Linked DNA regions of Arabidopsis thaliana. The protein of the gene in region 1 interacts with the protein of each later gene in a pairwise test. Each region holds a gene or a part of one and is shown on either strand. Other genes may lie near its edges.

Evidence for each region.
Region 2: the proteins of MEE18 (region 1) and TRX-M4 interact in a two-hybrid assay, tested with the Arabidopsis thaliana proteins (one large-scale study listed by BioGRID).
Region 3: the proteins of MEE18 (region 1) and AT3G20680 interact in a two-hybrid assay, tested with the Arabidopsis thaliana proteins (one large-scale study listed by BioGRID).

Annotation. Positions count from the first base shown.
Region 1 is NC_003071.7:14,395,750-14,401,202, forward strand, and holds MEE18 (maternal effect embryo arrest 18), read right to left. Parts: upstream 3,527-5,453; coding exon 3,247-3,526; intron 3,023-3,246; coding exon 2,906-3,022; intron 2,797-2,905; coding exon 2,664-2,796; intron 2,552-2,663; coding exon of another isoform or gene 2,537-2,551; coding exon 2,440-2,536; intron 2,299-2,439; coding exon 2,255-2,298; intron 2,168-2,254; coding exon 2,011-2,167; intron 1,783-2,010; coding exon 1,711-1,782; intron 1,569-1,710; coding exon 1,485-1,568; intron 1,314-1,484; coding exon 1,212-1,313; intron 1,124-1,211; coding exon 1,076-1,123; intron 1,008-1,075; coding exon 882-1,007; coding exon of another isoform or gene 795-881; coding exon 534-794; downstream 1-533. Other genes in the region: AT2G34100 (nonsense-mediated mRNA decay-like protein), read right to left, coding at 3,956-4,264, 4,394-4,666, 4,814-4,926, 5,054-5,306.
Region 2 is NC_003074.8:5,186,683-5,190,401, reverse strand, and holds TRX-M4 (thioredoxin M-type 4), read right to left. Parts: upstream 2,162-3,719; 5' UTR 1,955-2,161; coding exon 1,693-1,954; intron 1,265-1,692; coding exon 945-1,264; 3' UTR 566-944; downstream 1-565. Other genes in the region: AT3G15357 (phosphopantothenoylcysteine decarboxylase subunit), read right to left, coding at 2,807-3,238.
Region 3 is NC_003074.8:7,229,503-7,232,951, forward strand, and holds AT3G20680 (plant/protein (DUF1995)), read right to left. Parts: upstream 1,693-3,449; 5' UTR 1,662-1,692; coding exon 645-1,661; 3' UTR 566-644; downstream 1-565. Other genes in the region: HTA13 (histone H2A 13), read left to right, coding at 1-158, 252-461; AT3G20690 (F-box and associated interaction domains-containing protein), read right to left, coding at 2,068-3,180.

The sequences.
Region 1 (5,453 bases):
CAAAAACTTGTAAAGAAATCTTCGGTTAAATTCATCTTTCAACAATTAACATTGGTTATTGAACAAGTGATTCTTTTCTAAACTTAACTGAAAGGGCCAACAAAGTTGTATGGGCTTAGGGCCCTACCAATCTCAGGGCACGCTCTGTTTGTTGCTGGCATCATTTGCTTTGCTTTAATACATCTTTTTAGTAAAAGCACACATGTTAATACACAGTGAGAAACAAAGATGCCTTTGCTTGTTTGGGAATGAAAAGCACACATAGTTATGTAGAAATGTCATCATTTGGTTTCATTGGAAAGTGAACTGTATTCATCTGTACAGTAGTTATATGTAAAACGTGTAAGAAAAAACATATGATACAACTCCGAGAGAAAGAGAGGCGTTTGTCTTTCCTTAGCTAAGAATATGATCATTGACCATTCATAACCTTTCATATCAATTCACTAAAGGATCAAACTAAACAGTAACAAAAAAATCATGGTCCCAATTGCGTAGAAGAAGAAACTAGCTCTGGCCTAAAGAATCACTATTTACTCCACCAAACCGGCCAGTGTGTTTATCAGTGAGCTCGGGTTGAACAAGATACCGTGCTTCGGGTCACCAACACTCTCCACGACTCTCTGCAATAGAGTGGAGGTAACAGTGAGTGTTTGTTGTGCACATAAACTTGGAAACAAGTGAAGGAAAGAGATACTGACAACATCATATATCCCTTGTTCAGACAATTGTTTGAGATCTACTGCTATTTCTCCATCTTTCGGGACCAAGAGAGTGTTGATGTAATATCCAGGCTGCACACAAAAATGATGTTCTTGGATATCGATATATGTCTGATAAAGAAGACATCGAAAGAGTGTGGATTGTGAAGAACCACTCACGGGATTCTTGAGCCGAATATTAGTATCTCCATGAGTTCTGTTGAGAGCGTCAGCGATAGCAGTCACAAAGCAGGAAGCGGTGAACCTGCTTGTTTCTCGGTCTTGGCTACCGTTCAAAAGAAGTACCTGTGACAGAGAGAAGAAATCAGATTGATTTTTACCATCATTAGTATTTTTGACAAGCTTCAGCATACCTTACGACATGACCTGGAAGAGATAATCTCCCCAACACCAAGCAAAACCTGATGAACAGAAAGACTTGTCTATAACAGTTATCACAAATTTAGTAATCCACCATTTTTGCACAACATATTTATTGCGGGTGCTAACCAGTGATGGGCAAATGGAAGTGAACAGGGATCCCATTGCGTAAACGATACAGTCCACGCTTCTCAACTGCTCTAGGACAGTTGGGTTAACTGGTGGGAAGACCTGTTTAATGGACATAACACCAAACATTTGCAATGTCAAATACACCGTGCAAAACAAAGAAATGAAGTAGAGAACTAAAACGATAGAGTTTCTTAAAGGGAATCAGAATCATTAGAGATAACATTGAAGATATCTAGGACATTCTGTATATATAAAAGCAGAGTAGTTAACCTCATGAAGCAGATTATTGCCTTCACTTGACATGTAAAACACTCTCTTTATCTTCGATGGGAGAGCGGAAGTAGAACAATGTCTCTACTAGAAACATAGAAAGACAATGTAAGAAAATAAATTCTACATATGGCAAAATTGACATTTTTAATTGATACAAGTATATAGTAAACTTAGTTCTCGTGATCATCAAAAAACACCAATGTAAGATATTCAAATAGAACACCTTGTCAACTGTCTGCGTAGTCCCAGTGGTCGGGTGAGAAATTTCGTTCTGTCCGCGTATTATAGTCCCATCCTACAAATTAAAGTCATAACTTGTTAGTTTGCGAACAAATTTGCCACCTCAATCTTGCCATTAATTGTTTAAACCAAGAAGATGGCCAGTGAAGCGACAGCCAAGATTTATGTATAGAAAGCGATACTTCTTCCCGCAAATAATGATGCTTTAGCTGCGATATTTGTGGACAAGAATGGGATTCCATAAGCTAGCTGCGGGAATTCAAATAGAGATCAAGCTTCATACCTGTAATTCACATCCTAGTGTTAGCCTATCATTGGTTGATATCACTGGGAGGACCAAACTGTCACAAGGAATCTCTGAAACACGTGAAAACAGAAAAATTGCAGCATCTAAAGACTGGAAAAATATCCTTGCTCCTGCAAAGAAGAAGTTCCCAATGCTACAAGAAGGAAACAATCATAAGTGAGTTACTAAACAGGCGAACAAAATAATACACAGTTGAAGCCGAGAAAAAGATCTTCAATACCTTCCATTACTGAAGCAAAATCTCTCATTAGGTCGCCTATGAATCTGTATCATAAGAAACATGTCAAGTAAGAAATGACAGAATATTAAGGTAAAGAAAAATTTAAACAATCAAGAAGTTGGAACTTGGAACTGATCAAATATGAAACCAATAAAAACATGTTTCTCTGTATCAGTTAACATTACCTCATTCTGAAAGTATATCAAGAAAGCGCGAATTGTTTCACTGTAGGGTCTTGATACACCATCCCACAGAGAATGATTACCTTCTACAATATCGTACCTGTCAAAGTTCCAACTCAGCCAATGGTATATTACACAATATTGTCCACCACAGAACCTTAAATGTGTAGCTTATAGAGTAGACCACACTATGTGCATAAAGAAAACATAGTCATTGGATAAATTACCAATCTTTCTTGGCCTGATGTGCATCAATAGGTAAGCGATGGCCAAGCAACCGCCTAACAGCAAGTGCCTCTGAAGTACTCTCATCAGACAGCCTTAAACACCTCGAACGTATATCACCAACCGCTGGCCCTCCTATAGCAACGGAGATATTGAGCTTAGATTACTTCTGGTAAAAACTTAAAGAAGCTAAAACATATATAATCTGGGTCTTGTAGCAATGTTAGTGAGTTCTAAAACTTACCGAGAACACGAACAATCTCAGCAGTACTTCCACCATCATCAGAGACAGGAAGAACATGAGCGACTCGTGTTGTTAACTTCTTCAACTCTTCAACCACACCATTAAATCCAGTACCACCTTCATAGCAACAAATATAACGTTTTCCAAAATTCAGAGCAAAAGAAAACTACCTAAACCAATGTAAGACAATGATAAAGCTTTGCACTTTGCAACAAACAGAATTAACAAATGTCAAATTCTAAGTAATTGGTCAAGATCTAACACAAATAGACGATCTTATCGACATAAAAATCGTAACTTTAGGGAGACCCACGAAACAAGGAAGAGGAAGAAAGTGGAACCTGAGAAGACGAGGAGAGAAGGAGGCTCCACGGTGGAGGAGGAGAGACATTCAGCCATGAGAGAAGTGGAATTGTAGTAATGTGGCTTCTTGCTGCGGAAGAGAGAATGAAGAGACAAAGGAAGAGATGGTGATTTATAATGGACTAGACCCCCAAAATAGCAAATCTCCGCCATTACCGAACTGAAACAGAGAATGATGAAACATCTCACCACTACCCTTTTCGTTTTTGTCGATTTTCCAAGCCTTTGGATTTTTCTTTTTTCGCAATGAGAGTGCATAATAAAGCCATAAAAGATATTTATTACGCGTTAGAAAAGAAAATAATCACGGTACTGGTGGTTTTGTTGGTTTTCTACTTGGTTTGGTCCAATAAACCAAAACTAGTGTTAAATCGATTTTGGTGGGATTGTGGTTTTGCATTAGTGTTTGAGCTCAAAATACATGTATAGACCAAATGTCGATGATTCCACTGGAAAGGTACCTTAAGATAATCTAAAAGATCACATGATCGAATGGCAAAGAAGACAAACAATAATGATAAGAAAAAGTACACTATTTGGTATTAAACCCCAAGTTAATAGAGTGACATAAGCCTTGTGAAAAACGAATGAAACACTCAAAAAACTACACAAATAAATATCATTAAAGCCGATGTAAAGTATAAACTCGATCAAATCACACACATTTTTTGCCAAAAGATCAGAGCCCTAAGCACTCTTCACATAAACCCAATCACCATCTGGTAAAAGGGTCTCGACCTCACCAAATTCCGTATTCTTCGCAATTGTCTCTCGCCTCACATTCACAAATCCTTGTGATACGTCATCTTCATCGTCATGAAGCACTTTCCTTAGCTCGCTCATTCTCTGCTCGCGCGACATCTCCATCGCTTCTTCAGAGTGATATTCCCCAGCTTCATCATCCTCCTCATCGCATGATTCTTCATCTTCTTCGTCGGAAGACGTGTCAACATTATATAACTGCTGATAACCACCTTTCCACGTCAAACTTGAACCCTAATCACAAATACAATAACCAAATCAGCAACTGATTAAAATAACAACATTTCATAGATGATCATTTTCCTAGTTTTTGTATGAGCATAGGTATAAAAATGTGAAAAAAACTGCTACACAAAAACTTACACTATCTTTTTCATTACGATGATCGTAGGAACTAGGGGTATAATTCGTCGCTGATCCCAAATCAAGCTCCGACATGTTTTCGGAATATTTAAAAACTGTAGTATCCGCTTCTTCATCTTCATCATCAAAATCCTCATTCCATGAATCATCACTATCTTCGGAGAAAATGTCAACATCTTCTTCATCGTCATTATCCTCTTCTTCTTCTTCATCGAAAGACAAGTAGCCACTCTTTAACAGCTGATAGTCACAGTTCCACTTCAAACTCGATTCCTATATCAGAAAGATTCAGTCAGAGACAATAAACAAAGTAGCAACTAATTAAATTTACCAAAATTCCGTTATACAAAATCCATGGTGATTTACTTATTCTAGTTAATGAGCTTTGATATGAAAATGGGAAAAGTGCTTCAAACTTACACTATTCTCTTCATCATAATCATCATCATCAATACCATCAGCACCATCACCATAATTTTCATAACAATCATCACCACCTTGTGCTTGAGTGAAACTCTCTGGGAATTTTGAAGCTGCCAAGAAAATCAATATGATACTTGTCAGTCAAGAAACCAAAAAAGTGCTGATGTTCTAGCTACTTTAATTTAATGGTATTTACAATAACTATAATGTAATATATACTATATATAAAACACATACCACGCATAGCCCAGTGTTGGCTCGGTTTTTCTTTGACCTCAGCAATGCACATAGACCAGTGTTGAAGCGGTTTTTCTTTTACGTCAGAAAGGCACATATACCAGTGTTGAATCGGTCTTTCTTTGACCTCAGAGACAGGATATTGAGAGGAATGTTCATCACCAGATCCACCATTATCTGGCTGTCCGGTCAAGTCTTGGTTAGGCTGGTCGTCAAATATGTCTTTGGTTAACTCTGTCCAGAGTTCAATACTCTGAAAATATAGAAAAGAAAAACCAAATCAAAGAAAAGTTGTCATGTAAACGGTAAGTTTTGACAATCGAAGCCTGTTTTATGGAAAGATCTAACTATCATGAATAGTTCTGGTTTTCAAAAGGATTAGACCGTGATCAATTAGGTT
Region 2 (3,719 bases), on another chromosome or scaffold:
GATCTTTCTTTTTTTATTGCTCTTGAAAATTCTATAATAATTGAATATAGGTCTAAACACAGGGGAACATAATTTCCTAGTTGAAATACTAAAACACTTTAATGTCATATAGCTATTTTTTGGTGAAGTAGTTAATGAAAAATATTTTTGATATGTCCATATAGAAGCATATTAAGTAACAACATTTTAGTTTCTGAGGAGAATTACCCATAACAAAATACTAGTATTTGAAATACTACAAGATAATGATATTTTTAGCTCTGGTTAGAGATTGAACTGCCTTGTAATCTGACTGTAACTAACATTTGGTTCCGAGAGGAAAATGATGGAAGAGAATGGCAGAGTTGACAAACGTTTTCGATATCTAGCTGTATATTTAGTTCAGGATTTCGTATCTTAATTATTCGGTGCTATCAAAGGTTGGGAATTTGAGATCTAAGTTTCCTAAGTTTTAGTCGCGAAATGACCTGTGTAATCCGAGATTAAATATGGGAATCCAACTAAACTGATTTAAAAACGAAACGCGTTTTCTCCTGATCGTTTAGTAAAGACATGGCTTGGACATGCCACATAGTATATACTCACATAATTGGATTAGAAATCGAAAACATACATGATATAATATAAGATTACATAGACCCCCTCGTGGTATTAATATATGTCCTATGCAGTACACAGAATGAAACAGTACGGAAGCCTACATTACTCAAAACATATGTATGTATATAGATTGTACGGTGAATTAGGAAGAACAATGGCATGTGGTTCAACGTGGAGTTATGCTTCTCATGCGTCGGTGGATTACTTTGTTTCCATTTTTTTTATTGAAGAAGACAAAGAGGACCCACGATAACATAATAGTCAAAAACTTAAAAGACTTTACAGAGATTACAAGAGAGAAGATAAGGTAAAATGGTTCAGAGTGACAAAAGAGTCAAATTTTGTTACTCGACCAAGAATCTTTCTATAGTTTTCTCCAACGTCTCTCTAGGCACAGCTCCAATGATGCTATCTTTCTTCTCACCGCCTTTGAAGATGATTACTGTTGGAACGCTTCGTATCCCGTAACGGTTTGCTGTATTTGGGCTCTCGTCAGTGTTGATTTTGTAGAATTTGAACTTCCCTGCGAAATCTTTGGCTAGCTGGTCAACTATGGGGTGAATCATACGGCAAGGTCCACACCATGGTGCCCAGAACTCGACCAGAACTGGGACATCTGATTCCAGAACCTTTGTTTGCCATTCTGAATCAGACAGATTTGGTACTGCAACATCAAACAAACTAGTTAGATATATCTCAATGGTGATTGAAATTATGCAACTATCAGAGAGAACCGTTCTGTGAAATAGTATACAGAGCACATCAATGCTCAATGCCAACAAGACTCTGGTTCTTTCTTGAGTTATTTAAACCATATGCTAAAATCTTATCACAGAGTATCTTTGCTATCAATTTGTATAATCAATCCTGGTTTGATCATACAACAACTTGATAGATGAAGAAGTTGAGTATTCAATAACGTTGACTACAATGTTTTATCAGAATCCACTCCCTATGAATCCTAGTTTTAGAGAACTAAATCAGATAATACTAAAGACTAACAATCCAAGTAATTATATAGATGATGAAGTTGAATCCTCACTGATTTAAGGTTCAGATCTACGAGTTGTACTATAAGAAAACTGAAGTTACCTTCGACGGCGGCGGCAGTGGTGTCCTGAGCCTCACAGGCGATTCGTCCACCGCGAGCGATTCTGGTTCTACGATTCGCACCCAGACTGGCCGACTGAGTCACCAAACTCCGCGAAGACTTCAAACCTCTGAATTCCAGAAACCTGGCGGGAGAAATCCGGCGTCGTGAAACCGACGGAGCAGCTGAAGAAGACGAGACCGAAGCCGCAATCGGCAGAGAAAACACGCGGGTCACGGTGACGGAATCGAGTAACGACGCCATTGGAGCAGAGCAGAGATATTTTTTTGAGTGGTTAGAGGGTTTTTGGCAGATACGGGTGACAATTTGAATGACTTGAGAACACACACAGAGGCGAATGCGATTTTATCCTCGCCACGTCATTCTTTCCTTTGAGATAACGACAACGTTTAGAGGACTCCTGTAAACCGTCAATTGTTTTAGTAGACCGACTATCAAATTTGATTTCGGTTAGGCAGCACATCTGATTTCGGTTAGGCAGCACCGCACCAATTCGGTTAGGCAGCACTGCTATAAGGTCGATTCTATTTACGAAGACGGACATGTTCTTTTTTCATTAGTTAAGGTTGAGGATTGGACTCTTATATCACTTTATGAAAGGGTGTCTATATTATATATAGTTTAACTTTTCTTTGGAGAGTAATTTTTTTTCTTAAAACAGATTTGCATAAATACATATGGATTCTATTACTAAGCGTTATGATCACATAAATTAGAGAAAACTTGTTCAAAACTCGATTCCAAATAGTATTGAGCTTGTTTTGAGAGAAAAAAAAAAGAAGACAAAACTCGATTTGGGATGTTATAATAATCTAATCACCATCGTCTAATCGATACCATTTTAATAGTTTACTGAGATAGTTGCAACATTTTCGTCAGTTTGAGAATTTTTTTGTTCTTTCCCCCGAATGTCACATATATCATTGATAACCAAAACCACAGATTTAATAGTTAAAATGGGATGTGAAGAAAAATATACTGGACAAAGAAGAAGAAATTGTCATTTTAGAACCATTTCATCAAAGAAGGTTTATGTCTAAAGCCATTAATCTCAAGCAAACAAAAAACAGAAAGCATTTTGTGAAGAATGAAGAGTTACTTCTTCTTCCTTGTGTACTTGTCATCCTCCTCTTCCTCATCATCTTCGTCAGAATCTTCATCGTCTTCAAAGTCAACGTCATCAATCTCGTCTTCATCAAAATCCGTGTCCTCCTCTGAATCAGCATCTTTGTTGTCCACCACTCGCTTTCCATGAGCCGCCTCCATTTTCCCTACTCTCTCCGAAACGGCCTCCTTCTGAACGAAGCCGACACGTAAACCGGATTTCATAACCGGAAAAGTTTCAGAGTAAACAGGGTATTGGCTAGCCGCCGGCATCTGGTTAAAACAAAGCAGAGATCGAATGGCCGGTCCATTGTTCTGTACTGTCTCGGTGAGATTGATCTTACGTCCACGGAGGAATAGATTCGTCAACGATTTTCCGTCGCGGATGAGTGATCTCGCCGCCGATGATGAAGCTGAAGCCATTTTTGATCGCAGTGTACTGGGACTGATAAAGAGTTTAGGACGGCTAATATAAAGAGAGGGAAGGGTTTAGGGTTTTTAGTAGGAGTTGACACGTGGATAGACACGTGTACATTTACGTATCTCTTTTTCAGAACTGTAGTTTAGATTTTCAGTTGAAAGTACAACAACACGTCGGTAAAGTAAATCTGGTTCACATCTTTTGTCTTGATTAGGAGGGATAATAAAGCTTAAAAGTCAAAATCCAAACCTTGTATCGTTGACTTTTACTCACTTCTCTGGTAGCTCAGAAAATTGAGGCTATAATAAATCTGACTGATAAAGGGAACTGTACATATGAGAGTGACTTCTCAGTTCTCAATAGTCTTTTAAGATTTATGTCATAGTTAAGAGAAAAAAAGAGGATCCATGATTGTAAGAAGGGAGAAACTAATTAAGTCACCGGTTTCTTCAGAAATTAAGAAAAATTAAGGACAAAAAAAAG
Region 3 (3,449 bases), on another chromosome or scaffold:
GCGTTGCTAAGAAATCAACATCGAGAAGCAGCAAAGCCGGTCTCCAATTCCCCGTTGGTCGTATCGCTCGTTTTCTAAAGAACGGCAAGTACGCAACACGTGTTGGTGCCGGAGCTCCGGTTTACTTAGCCGCCGTTCTCGAATACCTCGCCGCTGAGGTAATTATCCCCTTCTCTCCCTATATCTCTTTACTCTTTCGATCTTCAATTTCGTAAAACCCTAATTTCTAAATTGGATCTGTTGTGTTGTAGGTATTGGAATTGGCTGGAAACGCAGCTAGGGATAACAAGAAGACTAGGATTGTGCCACGTCACATTCAGCTCGCGGTGAGAAACGATGAGGAGCTGAGTAAACTGCTTGGAGATGTGACGATTGCTAATGGAGGTGTGATGCCTAACATTCACAGTCTTCTTCTTCCCAAGAAAGCTGGTGCTTCAAAACCTTCCGCTGATGAAGATTAGATTAGGGATTTGTGTTGTGGTTGTTTAGCTAATTAATGTGTAGCTTAGTCTTTCATTAGATTAGATCTGAATTAGTTTTCATTAATGGTGTTGTGTAGTCTCTCTTTTGCTTCAAAAACAAGTATTAAAATCTTATTATTTTGAATTGAATCCACAATCAATACACATTGAAGTCCTAACAAACTACTTCTTCCCAGTGATATTTGAAACCAAATCACTAAGAAACTTAGCTGATTTGGTAATAGGAGAATTCATAGCCATCAAGTTATACAGAACAAGCTCAACTTCTTCGATTGATGGTCGAGAATTGAATTGTGAAACAACTTTCAAAGTACCATTACCTTCTTCTTCTTCAACGAGAACATTCCATCTTTCTCCACTCACAACACCGTCTCTTACACACTTAAAGATCACTCCTTTTCTCTTACTAAACACTCCTCTCACTTCTAAGCCAGTGAACGCATAAATCACTTCAAAGGAACCAATAAAGCCATCTCCAAAGCTTTTCTCTTCTTCAAACAACCATCTCGGATTGATCATTACTACAGGTTTTGTAGAAAAAGCTTCACTCGCGGTCTTAACATCCTCCAGCTGCGATTTCTCCGGAGCCATGAAGATCGCCACGTCAGCAGATCTCAGAGCTGTTTTAAGAGAGTCTGAGACCGGAGACATGGCAATGTGGTGGATAGAGTCTGACCGGAAAGCTTTAACGGCGGGATCGATGAATGAAGGGTTAGGCCAGAGGAAGAGAAGCTTGACATTAGAGCCTCTTCTCGAGATGGGTAAGTCATGAAAGATCGAGAAAGCGAGCTGAGAGAGTGACGAAGGAGAATCATCGTCAAGGATTGGGATTTCAAGACGGAATCTTGGTTGTTTGAGCTTCCTGAGTTTTGGGGAAGCGAGTTTTGGGTTGTTTAAGGGTTTGATGAGACATGAAAGGAGACAAGTTTTGGCTTGATTAATGGCTTCTTCTTTGGAAAGGGGAGGAGAAGAAGAAGAAGGTGAAGGAAGAGAGGAACAGAGAGGAGCGAATAAACGAGTAGTGGTTGATTTGTGGTTGAGCTTTGAATGCTGTTGTGAGAGTGATTTGGAGAAATGAAGATGGAAAATTCTGGAATTGGGAGGAGATAACGAAGGAGGAGATGGGTTTAGAGCTTTGAATGTCTGTGAATTGAGTTTGAAGAGAGTCGAAGAAGCCATGGCTGATCTCTGATGATGAGGAAGAGAAGAGAAAGAGGATAAGGTTGTTCAAAACTTCAAATAAGAAATGAGACAAAACCGATCGAGTTACATAAACGAAAATTTGATTTCGGTTTGGGTCGGTTTATATAACCAAACCGAAAATAAAGTAAACAAAACAAAGGAATTGCTTAAACAAAAGTACCTTGCTCGTCACTTGTTGTCTCTCTGTTTTGTAATTTGATAACTTATAAATCTTCATTATATAATTGCATAAAGAGATGAGAAACAAATTAATATTAAAATAAGATGAAAGCAAGAAGACTAATTCATAGGTCTGGTTAACTTGATTTGAATAAAACTTGGAGCATAAGAACACATAGGACCTGGTGTGCATAGAGAGTCACCGAGACCCACTGTTTTGAGACTACTTCACAGAACTTGGTACATAAGAGCACACAAGACGGCAAAGTGGTTGATATAGAGGTTCACGGAGATCCGCTCTTCTGAAATAACCATTCTCTCCAACGATGTAAGCTATGTGGACAGTGGATTTGAGCCCCTCTGTCTCCTCTTTATTAAAAAACACTACGACTTTCTCTTCATCATAAATCAAGTATCCCTCAGTCAGAAAAAATCTTGGTGTGTTATCAACTTTTAAGAACTTGCTCCACGAGACTTCATCGGGCTCAATCTTGTTCGTAACCCAAATATCGATCTCAGATTTGCCACCCCGCCACCGCTTTACTAACACCGCAAGCTTCTCTTCTCTTACCACATATAGACTCCCCAAAAATTCATCGATGAAGGGTTGAGGTAGAGGCAGACGCGGTCCGAATCTCTCTCTAGTAAAATCAAAGCATATTAAATAACAATCTTCTGATCTTCTATCTTTAGCATACCAGTAAGTATTTCCCTTCAAAGACACGCCATCTTGCATAAACGCTATATCCCATTTAAGAGGGAAACTAGAAACCATCCGTGAATTAGACCTCAAATTGTAGATTTCAAGTCTATTAGGGTAACTATCGAAAACCCTTAAGATTTTGTGGCAACCACAAGATTTGTCGTATCCGAAAGCAAGTTTGTCAAAACTTGCAAAATTATTTATGCGTTTGACCCATTCACGTTTCCCCCAATACGGGTTACAAACCACAAGCCTAATACTATCATCAGTGATGCTTCCGTATAACAACAATAAACCGTTGCAGTGAAAGACATTGAATATTTCCTTGAATATTAGATCTAAATTTTCTAGGTGAAGAATACCTTTATTCTTTATAGATAGATCAATAATGTTGTTGTTGTTCTGAATACCATGGAGATTGACGCCAATTGAATAAACCTTACAATCTTTAATCATTATCAAATCTCTTTTCCCTGATGCGGTTACATTGCCGATGTGCTTATTTGCAAAGCTCCGATGTTTGGATAGAACGTTCCAGGTTTTGCAAGTAGATCGCATTGCTTTTAAAGATATCAACGGAAGCCTAGAGAGAATCTCCTCCACCAAATCATGTGGAAGATCGGACATCATCATCGTCGCTGTTTCAAATTTCGAACAAGGATTGATCTATTTGGCGCAGATGTTAGGTCAACTTTCATAAACTCTTTTCTTTCAGACTATCGATAGATTGTTATTGAAGACACATAAACCCTAGTATTTAATTGTCTGAAATACACAAAACTCTCAAACATCCTTGTTTATTGGGCCACTCTTATTTTTAGCCCATTGGACGTATTATCCTTCCGCTCACGTGGCACAAAAACGATTGAGTTATAAACAAAATTTTTGGTATCGGTTTGGGT